Elephas maximus indicus: one gene and its partners. The protein of the gene in region 3 purifies or fractionates together with the protein of the main gene of each other region. This does not show direct contact. Links are inferred from orthologs where the notes say so. Each region holds a gene or a part of one and is shown on either strand. Other genes may lie near its edges. The genes, in order: CTTNBP2NL, SIKE1 and STK26.

Region 1 (3,751 bases), on a different chromosome or scaffold from region 3:
TAGAGTTTCCTGTTCTGCTTTAGTTTTTTCTACTGCTATTGCTGTGTTAGCTGGGGAGACCCCACACATAGCTTCTCTTTTATGCTTTCTTATTGTAGATCTGGGAATAATCACTACACAGATCTGTGAGCACCAAGTGTGGCTCTGAAAACTTCGAAACTTAACTATTAAAAATAATTACCTTCAGGAAGTCTAATCAGGAAGGTAAAAGACAACAGCCACTACAATCACCCTCTATGATTTCAACTCTTTGCATGTTATTGAGATTAGCTTTGGCTCTAGATAACAGAGGAGGCCTGGTGGTGCAGTGGTTAAGAGCTTGGCTGTTTGGCTGCGAATCAAAAGGTCAGCATTTGGAATCTACCAGTTGCTCCTGCTCCTTGGAAACCCTGTGGGGCAGTTCTACTCTGTCCTGTGGGGTCGCTATGAATTGGAATCAACTCGATGGCAATGGGTTTGGTTTTTACAGGTAACAGTAGTGAGAGGGACTTCTGATTGAAAGCAAAAAAGAAAACTGCTTAATATATGGTTAATTTTAATATATGAAAGCACTATCCATCGGTAAGGAGCCCCGGTGGCACAGTGGTTAAATGCTCAGCTGCTAACAGAAAGGTCAGAGGTCTAAACCCACCAGCTGTTCAAGGGGAGAAAGATGTGGCAGTCTGCTCCCGTAGAGATTTCTGCCTAGGAAACCGTACGGGGCAGTTCTCCTCTGTCCTACAAGGTTGCTGTCAGTTGGAGTCCATTTGACGGCAATTGGTAACAGGCACCCATAGGTGATTACTGGGGATTCAGGGGCATTAACACTGGACCAAAAGCCATCAATACTTAGCCCCTGCTGAAATGAAGAACAGCTTAACAAAGTCTTTATGAACATACTACAGAGGCATGTGAATAACTGGAGCTTACCTCGCCTTTATTTACCCTCATCTCTGCGACTTAAAAATTGCTCTTATTTTTTGTCCCCTATAAATTTTTTTTTATATATATATATATTTTTTAATATTTTTGTTAGATGCTATGGGTCATGTAAAACCAGTCAACAATGTCATATATGTATCATTTTCCCTGGGGGAGGGGGGGAACCCACTATAAAAGATGGAGTAGTTGAGAGTAACCAAAGGCCACCTGACCAGATTACTTATAAACCTAAATGTCTGAACCTGAATTTTCTTCAAACACTTCCTGCCTTTTGTTTCAACAGAACCATACCTTCCAGGTGAAGTGCAGTCTCCCTGAGCAACAACCAGCCCACCATAGACTAGGAGATACTCATGCCTATGACCAAATATTTTCATTTGCTTATCTATACTGCTTCATCTTAAATCTTGTGCTATTCACTGGTTGCCAAACAATACACACTGCATTCCTACCCACACAAAGGCAATTCTGCAGATAGCCAACACACCCACCTCACTGTGAAATACAAGAGGATGGTTTTTCATCAAGTTCTCAGGGAAGAAATAGGGTGGAAGGCAAAAGTGAACAACTCAACGCTAGAAAACCTTTTGAAGCTGGGAATAGAAAATAGAGAGAAGGTACAAAGACTGAGATGGGGGGAGGGGGTTGTAATTTCTCCTTCCTCCAGAGCTTAAAAAAAGTCCATCTTGACTCCCGAAGCAGGGGAGCTCTCCACTCGCCACAGAACAGCAAATCCGACGGGCAGCTGGAAGAAGGCTGGGGATCCGAGAATGGAGGATGGGAAGAGCTGAAGGGGGGGGAGGGCCGCTTCGTACGTGGTGCTGGCTGTCCAGGTCGGGTCTTTGATTTTTGCTTTGCCCCATCCCTCTTTTCTAAAATGTACTGACTTTATCTTACAAACGATACTAGCTCTGGTCCCACCCTAGCGAGCAGGGACAGGTGTAGGGAGGGATGTCTGGCTGCCCGGGGTACAAAATGGGAGTGGGGGCGGCAGCGTAGGGAATGGGAACCGGCGAGCCCTCCTCCAAGGTTGAAGCGCTGAGCGAGAAGGGCTTTTAAATGAGAGGTAGCAGGAGGGAAGCCCTTTCTGAGGAGGGAGGAACTGACGGGGGACAATAAGGAACCGTGAGGACCCTCGAAGGATGAGCAGCCACCTCCTCAGGGAATACCGGGAGGTGGAGGAGACGGCCCCGCCCCCTCCGGGATGTACACGAGAGGCAGTGGGACAGTGCGGGAGGATACCGGGGTCCCACCCTTGCTTTTCTCTCGGAAACCCGGTTTCCCAGCAGTCACCAAGTCCCAGCATTAGGGGATCCTACCTTTTCCCGGCGCTCCGGGCTCCGCTCCCGGCCGCCTCCGCCACCCGCTCCCTATCCACAGCCCCCGAGGCCCCACCCCCTCAACCGCCAGGAAGGGACATTGGCATGCATTCTGGCCAATCACCACCTCGCCTCTTCAGCGCCGCCACCAATCCACACTGGCTGGAGGAGGAGCTTCTCCAATGTCATTTAGGCTCCTCCTGGAGCCCCAAGATCCCTTTTGTTTGGGGAGAACCGGGCTGGGATTGAGCTCACGTCAGTTCCGGTAGGAAGCACCCTCCTCCGGCCCGCACGAAGGTGGGTCTGGGTCCTGCCGCTTTCCAGCTTCTTTACCGTTGCTGGACAGGCCCCTGACAAGGGCTTCATGCTTCGCCCTAGTGGTAGGGGAAGCTGAGGAATGGCGGGCTTCTGGTGTCCGGAGTGTGATTTCATCCACATTGTTTAGAAAAGTAAGCTTTGGTATCTGCTTTAGAAATGGTTATTGAAAACTCAGTAACGTGGCTTCCCTGCTCCCGCTTTTTTCCTTGGACGCGCCTGAAGGTGTGCTGGAAGCAAGGGTACAAAGATGAAATATCAGGAGACCATCCTTCTCTCTTCACATTATATGTAGAAGAGGATGCTAGCTATGGAAATTCTGCAGTGGGTCATAGGATTGTACCAGAGGGGCCATAAACCCAGCCGACCTGCCTGCCTTCCAGGCCTTGTCTCTGTATACTATCCACCAGGTTGGGGGCAAGGGCGAAAGGGGAAGGAATGGGGGAGGCTGCCTTCAAGGCAGAAGTCTAATAATTGCAAATTTGTGTGTCAAGGTTTCCACACCACGCTTGCCAGATGAGAAGACAATTTCATGTTGGTCGCCCCATTATACTATGGGATGACGGTGTTTGCAGTGAAGTTGGAACAATGGACAGCCTAGAGTATACATGTCTGGCCCTCCATGTGGAAACAAGAGGAACACATCTTGCTGATGATAGCAAGCCTTAAAAAACCCAGGTGCCCTTGAGACGACTCTTACTCATGGTGACCTCTTGTAGAACTGTGCCCCATAGGGTTTTCAGTGGCTGATTTTTTGGAGGTAGATTACCAGGCCTTTCTTCTGAGATGCCTCTGGGTGGATGTGAACCTCCAACCTTGGTTAGCAACCGAGTATTAATTGCACCACCCAGGACTTCAGCAGCAAGCCCTAGGTAGGACCAGATAGCCCAGAGAGGGGAGAGAATGATGGTAGACCTAGCTGTATCCTTCCTGGAGGTCAAAGTTTCTAGAACACTTTTCCATAGACTGCACTCCAGCTCATAGATTGATTTAGCTGGTTAAAATAATAACCATCGCATTATTTTTCATATAACAATACAATTAGTAGTTGTCATTAAACAAGACAATATTAGGGCCTAGTCCTCACCTAAGCAGACACAGTTCTCAAGGCAGATGCAGCCATGTCCTCATGTAGTTTACAGTCTGGTGGAGGGATTTGATCCACCTGAGCAATCATAGTGAAGTTTGAAGAAAAT
Region 2 (3,751 bases), on a different chromosome or scaffold from region 3:
GGAGGAAGCTTATCACATTCCAGGGTGCCTTTTTCCATCTTTGGACATCTTAGAAAGTTCTCCTATATCATATAAATCGTTTCCTTCAAGGTTCAGTAAATTGGTAAAATTCATTTTCCTCCTCTAGATGAAAGCTTAAATGTAGCTATCCCTATTCCTTAAGACTTTTGTTAAGTCAATAAAGTCAACAGAATCTAAGATGAAATTGATCTCTCACTAAATTCCACCGTAGCAAACAGCGAGGTTCAATCTATTAACCCAGAATTAAGTGATATGGTACCTGTGAATGTACCATGACAACTGTGAAGCATCTTATAAATATAAGTACAATTATTGGGTCTCCCAAATTAAATCATAAGCAGCCTAAGTGTAGAAACTACGCTACACATACTTTTTAAACACCACTATTCTCTCCTAACAATAGAGCATGATGCTATGCAGTTCAGTTTGACACTTTCAACACTAACTGGCATTATGTTTGGTGCAAGTGCTTAGCATTCCTTAGCGTTCTGAAAAAAGATCTTGATGCGGTACAGGGAGAGGAGGGAACCGTGGGCCACTCAAATAAAAGGCACTGAGTAGCTCCTCATCCCCTTCTGATTATCTTTACAAAGCTAAAGCAAAATAAACAGCAATTGTGATAAACATGAAAGGAAACACAAGGTTATTTTTCTTGGAAATCAAACACAAAATCTAAAATAATTTCCAGATTTCAATTCAGTTAATTTAGAATTTACTTATCAGAGCTTCTTACTGCAGAATGAGACTGGTGAGCTTTCAGGACTGGTTCAGCATCCACTGCTTTTTTAGCGACCATCAACTGTAACATCTGTTTCCGGTACTTGCTCATGATGAGTTCTAAGGCATCCTGGTGTTCCTCCAAGGAAACCCATAGTTCTATCAAAAAATAAAATAACTTGGCAGCAATGTCTGAGAAACCACTCCCAAAACCAAACTCTTAACAGTTGGAATTTTACGACACTCCATAAGATACTGTGAGTCCAAAGTTGTAAATCAATGTTTAAATCCACAAAACTAAAGAGCTAAGGTTTATGTTAAAAATAACTTCCTAGGCAGAGACACCATAGTCTAGTAGAAACACCGTAGGGTATGAAATCAGAAGACACAGGTTTGAGTACAGTTCTGTGACTTACTAGCTTAATAAAAGTACTCCTGAGCAAATCATTTAACCTCTCTGGGTCTATTTCTCAGCTGCAATACTGTAATAATAAATACCAGGCTTGCCTATACCAAAATGAAGATACAAGAATACAATGTGAAGTAATATGTGAAAACCTTCTGTAAACTGATATGTAAGTGACTATTAAAAAAATTTTTTTTAATTAACACTACCATCATTAATAACGTAGTTAACATGTTTAAGAATATATATCCTGAGGATAGAACTGTTCCTGCACCTTATGCGATAAGAGTAAAAAAAAAAATTTAACTTTAATGTTTATTTCGATTACTATTTAAACATTAAATTCTAAGCCCTTTGAGAATATGAACTCCTTTGTTACGCAAGCCTCTATCCGGGGATATTTAAACACACCACGCAATAATTCAATTCTATTAAGCACCACTTTGATGAGCCGTCTATAAATGCTAAATCAGTCAGATGACCTTGAAAAAGATATTTAGCAATTACACCACACCATTATTGGTCTAGCAAGTGACACTCCTTTTAAAAGTATTTACCTGGGAATACGTATAGGATGTCCACGTTTGTGAACAGTTAAGGCAGTTCTGCAAGAATTTCTGAACTGCTACTGGAAAAAAAAAATCGTAACTACACAAAAAGCCTGACTAACCTCTGTTTTCCTGCTGCAAGTCTCTAATCTGCGTGTTCTCTTGGGACAGCAAAATGTGAGGCTTGTATTTAGACACGTCCTTCACATCGGATGCATCCTCTTGATACTGGACAAACAGAAAGACAGACTAAGCGCGCCGAAAACAGGGGCAGATACAACTGAAAAGGTAGGAGCCAGAGCTCCAGGCAGTATTCTCAGCCCCAACTCGGCAGACGCCTCACCGCCGCCCTCTAAGACCGGGAACAAATTCCAGGCCGAGTTCTCAGTTTACCTCGCAGTCCACACCTCAAGCGCCCAGAACCCGAGGGCACGGATCCCCCATCTCTGCCTGACCTGGTCCGGAAGCGCTGCCCCAGCCTCCCGCATAGCTGCCACCCGCCGGTGCAGTGCCGCCGACTGATCCACCAGCGACTCAGCGGCCGCATCGTGCTCCCGCAGCCTCTCCAGCAGAGTCTTGGCGTCTGTCAGGATCTTTTCGATGGTGCAGGTCATAGCGGATGCACGACCCCACCTGTCCGCACCGCTCACCTAAGCAAAGCGCCCAGATCTTCCTTGAACCCTTCTCAGCGTAACATACGTCACTTCCGGGAAAGTTGGCCAGGCGCCTCAGCCGCCGCGATCTATGCGCCTGCGCAATGACAGATACGTCCTCAGGTTGACCCGCTTTAACCTGCGCCTTCGCTTCAGCCCCGCCCACCGCAGAGCTGACGGCTTGCACTGGCCGGGTTCTTGTTTTCCTGTTCCTAAGCTTGATGGGTTTCTCTTTTTTCTACTGGCTTTTGGTTAATGTGGGTTTTTTACTCAGTCATCGTTTTACTCTAATTGCGTACTTTTTTGGTTTTAATTCAATTAATACATTGAAAATAAAATTAGTCAGAAAAACAACTTTTTTGTCATTTGTTATATCAGTTTATAAGAGTTTTGCTTGTCATGTTTGTACGTCAAACTTTGCTCTTTTTCATTCATTAATTTAATAAATATTTTTGGAGCGTCTTCTTTATTCCAGGCACTGTTTAGTCTCTGGGAACACAGCAGAGAATAAGACACAAGGTCTCTCAAAGAAAAACCCCGCGACCACATGTGTCACAGAATAGAGCTGTTCATAGGGTTTTCTTGGCTGTAATCTTTATGGAAGCAGATCACCAGTTCATCAAGCCTTTCTCCCATGGAGCTGCTGGGTGGATTTGAACCACTAACCTATAGGTTAGCAGCCAATGGCAAACTTCTTGTGCCACTCAGGCTCCCTTTCTCCCATTAGGGAGCTTATGTTCTAATGGGAGAAAGAATTTATACTCCAATGAATAATTTAAGGCAGTGAGAGAATTAGGAGCCTGGTGAAGGGGTGAGAGTGCCAGAGCCTTAGTGAGAGGTCAGAGAAACGCGGAGGGAAGGGGAATTTGGGCTGTTCTGTTCCCAACAGCTGGCACAATGGAGACACTCAGTAATTGTTAAGGGGGTAGATGGGGAACAAGCTCAAGAAAAATAACAAATCAGGGCCACAGACCAACGGGAAAAACTTTAATGCATAGCGACAGAGGTAAAGAGATTTCATTCAAAACAAAAGAAAAACACCCTGCCTGAGTGATCTATTTCCTTTGGTTTTGACTTCCACCCAGGCCCATTGGTTCTCAAATCCATCTCTGTAGTTGAAATCTCTTTCATTAACCTAGGATATTTATATCTAGTTGCGTACAGAGTGTTTCCACAGTGACAACCTACAGGCACCACAAATTCAACATGGTCTAAAACTGACCTCATTATTAGCTTTGCCTCTAAACCTGTTTCTTCTGTCTCCCTAAAGAGCATGTTCATACACCCATTTTCATAAAACAGAATCCTGAAAGTCATTGTTTAGTCTTCCCATTTACTTATGTCTCACATTTAATCAATTACCAGTCTATCTCCTTTATATCTTTGTTGTTAGTTGTTAGGTGCCC
Region 3 (3,751 bases):
ATTCACACTAACTGGGATTAGCTGATCTTCCTACCACAAACAATCCCATACAGCAAATGTTGTCTGAGCTCCCTGCCAAAGGATCAAGCACTTCTTAGAATCAGCAGCTGGTCATATTCAGTTTACACTTTAATAGAAGGGTAGCAATGGTGAGAGAGAGAACAGCTAAATTAAGTGTAGTGGGTTGAATAGTGGCCCCCCAAAAGATATGCCCAAATCCTAACCCCCCCAAAGTTCTGAATGTGACCTTATTTGGGAAAAGGGCCTTTGCAGAGGTAATTAAGTTAGGATCTCGAGATGAGATCATCCTAGATTTTCTGGGGGGGGCCCTAAATCCAATGATCCAAACCCAAACCCACTGCCGCTGAGTCGATTCTAATGTACAGCAACCATGTAGGACAAAGTAGAACTGCCTCCTAGGGTTTCCGAGGCTGTAATCTTTACGAAAGCAGACTGCCACATTTTTCTCCCACAGACAGGCTGGTGGGTTCGAACCGCCTACTGTTCAGTTAGTGACTGAGCACTTAAGTACTGTGCCAAAGTCCAATGGTAGGTGTTCATATAAGAGAAAGGCAGAGAGAGATTTGAGGTAGAGACGCATATAGGGGAGAAGTCAGAGGCAGAGGCTGGAGTGATGCACCTACAAGCCAAGGAATACCAAGGATTGCCAGCAACCATCGCCTGAAGCTAGGAGACAGGTATGGAATGGACTCTGAGAGCCTCCGAGGGAACCAACCGTGCTGACACCTTGATTTCAGACTTCTGGCCTCCATAACTGTGAGAGAATAAATATCTGTTTTAAAGCCACCTAGTTTGTGGTAATTTATTCCCCAACTCACACATCTCAATCATTCCCCGTATACTTCCAAACCACCATCCAAACGACACAGAACACAATAGATTCAAGAATTTAAACTTAAGGAAAAAAAAAAAAAAAACAGAAACAAAAACTCAGGATCCTATCGGCACGTACTGGTCTAGTCCAAGGCTGAAATAAGACGCTATTATTCCTTTGTCACAATTCCTTTCACAACTCATCTCACAGTGAGAATACAGAAGTCGACACTTTGCTGCGATAAAACCTGAACTCAAGCATAGGTTTCTAGGTTAACAAATGTACAGGCATGACTTAGATTTATACATTTGATATTCTTTTCTGATTCAGAAACTATATCCTTTATGTTGTAATATACAATTTTGAATTAAAATTTCACTTGGATGAAACAATCTTTATATCTTTACGTTAACTCATATTGAAGATACACTACTGACCAAGTAGAAACTCAGGATTGAGTCTCCCTCCCCCACCGAAAAGACAGTTTAATAAATTATACTTAAGTGCTTTATTAGTTTATATCTAAAATTTTACTTTGAGTACCTTCAAAATATAGGAGGATTCTATCTAGCTCTGGTGAGCTGTCTATATTTAATTTGCCAGTCAGGCCTAGAATATCTGTTCATTTACCACCATTTTACTTAGCCATCAGTTTCAAGAGATAATTATAGAGTTAGCACATTCCTAATATCTTCCTTGGACCCTGGTGGTGTAGTGGTTAAGAGCTCAGCCACTAACCAAATGGTCGGCAGTTCGAATCCACCAGCAGCTCCTTGGAAACCCTGTGGGGCAGTTCTACTCTGCCCTATAGGGTCGCTATGAGTTGGAACTGACTTGACGGCACCTAACAACAACAAAGGTATCTTCCTTTACTAGACAAATAGGCCATTAAAATTTATTATTTGTCTCTGATCAAGTTCTTGGTGCCATGATTACCAAATAGATCCACTGCTACTCCAGTGAGCTGCCTCCTTTTGAGGTAACTTGAAGACTTATGACTGCTTTTAAAGAATTTCACCAATTTTTCTTTTTTCAGCCTGCTTAAAGTACAGTTTGCACACGACCTGCTTACGTTATAAGCTTCCCCATTCTCCTTGATTGGATTTTGTTCTTTTCTGAAAGATGCCCTTTCCACGTAGCAGTCTCTGATGTTGCAAGCTACTTGTGTATTCCTACCCACCTCTAGTCCCACACGGAGTAAATATATCTTGAGTTTCCCATATATCCATTTAAAACTAGTTTAGACTTCCAGTAGGTTGCAAATGCCTCTTTAACGCTCATATTTTGTTATAATACATTCTCAAAAACTTGAGTACCATCATTATTAATTTCCTTGGCATTCTCTCTCTTACCATGACATTGTACTTCATGCTGATTACTATTACACAGTGGTTAACTCACAGTTACCTCTTTCTACTTCTGGTGATGGTTGTTGCCTTTCTAGTACCTTGTGGCAAAAATACCCATCAAATATCTTAGTGATGGGTTTGCCTCCCTATAACTTCCTAAATTCAGTGGGCTTTGAAAAATAAAAAGAAATAATCTTTCAGTTGTCCTGATGCAGCTGCAAAGCTAGTCTAAAATTTGGAAATAAGTCGCTGGTTAAAAATATATATGTACTTTCTAAAACAGAAATGGATAACACATTCTGGATTGAGAAGTATATTCATTAACTTATAACAAGAATTGTCAGTTGGATTTTCACCTAAAGCACAATAAAAAAATTAAAAGAAAAAAAAATCATCTGTTGTAAAAAACAAAGATTAAATCCCAATCTTCCTAATTAGTGTTTTAAAAGGCTATGACTAAAACAATCAGCTCCAGGGGGGATAAAGCTGTTCCTTGCTTTCTGTACTAAATGAGTTCCTGAAAGTGTGTAGATCAAAGACTTAAAAACCAAGTCACATTTTGCGTTTTAAAGAAGCTCTGAAGTGAATCCCAACTCATCAATATAGTTAAAGATTTTCAATCAAGGAATACCAAGTTGGAGACAGAAACGTTTGCACTTCCCACTCCTCATCTCCCTGAGGGATACAGGTCCCTGTCCTATTTATCAATTCCTAACTCTCTGGGAAGTTCTAGTCTGTCCCATAGGGTCGCTATGCATCAGAATTGACTCAACAGCAATGGGTTTTGTTTTGTTTTATATCCCTGATTTAAAAAACAAAACAGTTGCCATTTAGTCGATTCTGACTCATAGTAACTCCATGTGTCTCAGCGTAGAACGGTGCTCCATAGTTTTCAATGGCTGATTTTTCTGAAGTAGATTGCCAGGCCTTTCTTCAAGGCATCTACAAATGGATTTGAACCTTCACCCTTCCTGTTAGGAGCTGAGCATGTTAACCATTTGTACCACCCAGAGACTCCAAATCTTTCACAGATAATCCCAAAGATCTAATTTCCTGTTCACCATCTCACTGGCTTATTAAATCAAGGTATCCTAAGTAGTTATTAAGACAGATTTCCTTTCTTTTTTTTAGGGAAAGGGCAAAATTCAAGTAAATAACTTGTAAAAATCCCAAAGAATGCAATTAAAAGACCATCTGTATAAAGAAACTGGTTTGCTCAATCATTCACACTACTCTTCAGAGCCTGGAAGAAAATCAAGACAGCTCTCGAAGAAAATCAAGTCAGCTCTCTACATACCTAAATCAAATATTCTTTTACGAATATTAAAATTTCTAAACCTTTTTATGCATAATTAACGGTTACTGTTGCATCTGTGTTTGCATTGCCTTCTGGAAGCAGTAGCCCAGAAAGGAGCTTTAAATTCTGTAGCAAATAGTAGGAACCACTAAATTAACCTCATATTAATTTACAACAAATGGTGTATGATTTGTATATGCCCTGCAAAAATGGATTTATGAAAATGAAAGCCTCTGAGATCCACCTTAGGGCATTCACATTATTCCTGGA

What was found.
Region 1: the proteins of STK26 (region 3) and CTTNBP2NL purify together in Homo sapiens (affinity purification with mass spectrometry; 4 studies listed by BioGRID and IntAct, with this or other methods). This does not show direct contact. The link is inferred for Elephas maximus indicus from reciprocal best matches to the Homo sapiens genes STK26 and CTTNBP2NL.
Region 2: the proteins of STK26 (region 3) and SIKE1 purify together in Homo sapiens (affinity purification with mass spectrometry; 4 studies listed by BioGRID and IntAct, with this or other methods). This does not show direct contact. The link is inferred for Elephas maximus indicus from reciprocal best matches to the Homo sapiens genes STK26 and SIKE1.

The regions. Positions count from the first base shown.
Region 1 is NC_064821.1:168,370,681-168,374,431, forward strand, and holds the start of CTTNBP2NL (CTTNBP2 N-terminal-like protein), read right to left. Parts: upstream 2,308-3,751; 5' UTR 2,241-2,307; intron 1-2,240. UniProt on the Homo sapiens protein: Regulates lamellipodial actin dynamics in a CTTN-dependent manner. Associates with core striatin-interacting phosphatase and kinase (STRIPAK) complex to form CTTNBP2NL-STRIPAK complexes.
Region 2 is NC_064821.1:165,760,073-165,763,823, reverse strand, and holds the start of SIKE1 (suppressor of IKBKE 1), read right to left. Parts: upstream 2,389-3,751; 5' UTR 2,307-2,388; coding exon 2,148-2,306; intron 1,921-2,147; coding exon 1,815-1,920; intron 898-1,814; coding exon 755-897; intron 1-754.
Region 3 is NC_064846.1:24,087,674-24,091,424, forward strand, and holds the start of STK26 (serine/threonine-protein kinase 26), read right to left. Parts: upstream 2,206-3,751; coding exon 2,188-2,205; intron 1-2,187. UniProt on the Homo sapiens protein: Serine/threonine-protein kinase that acts as a mediator of cell growth. Modulates apoptosis. In association with STK24 negatively regulates Golgi reorientation in polarized cell migration upon RHO activation.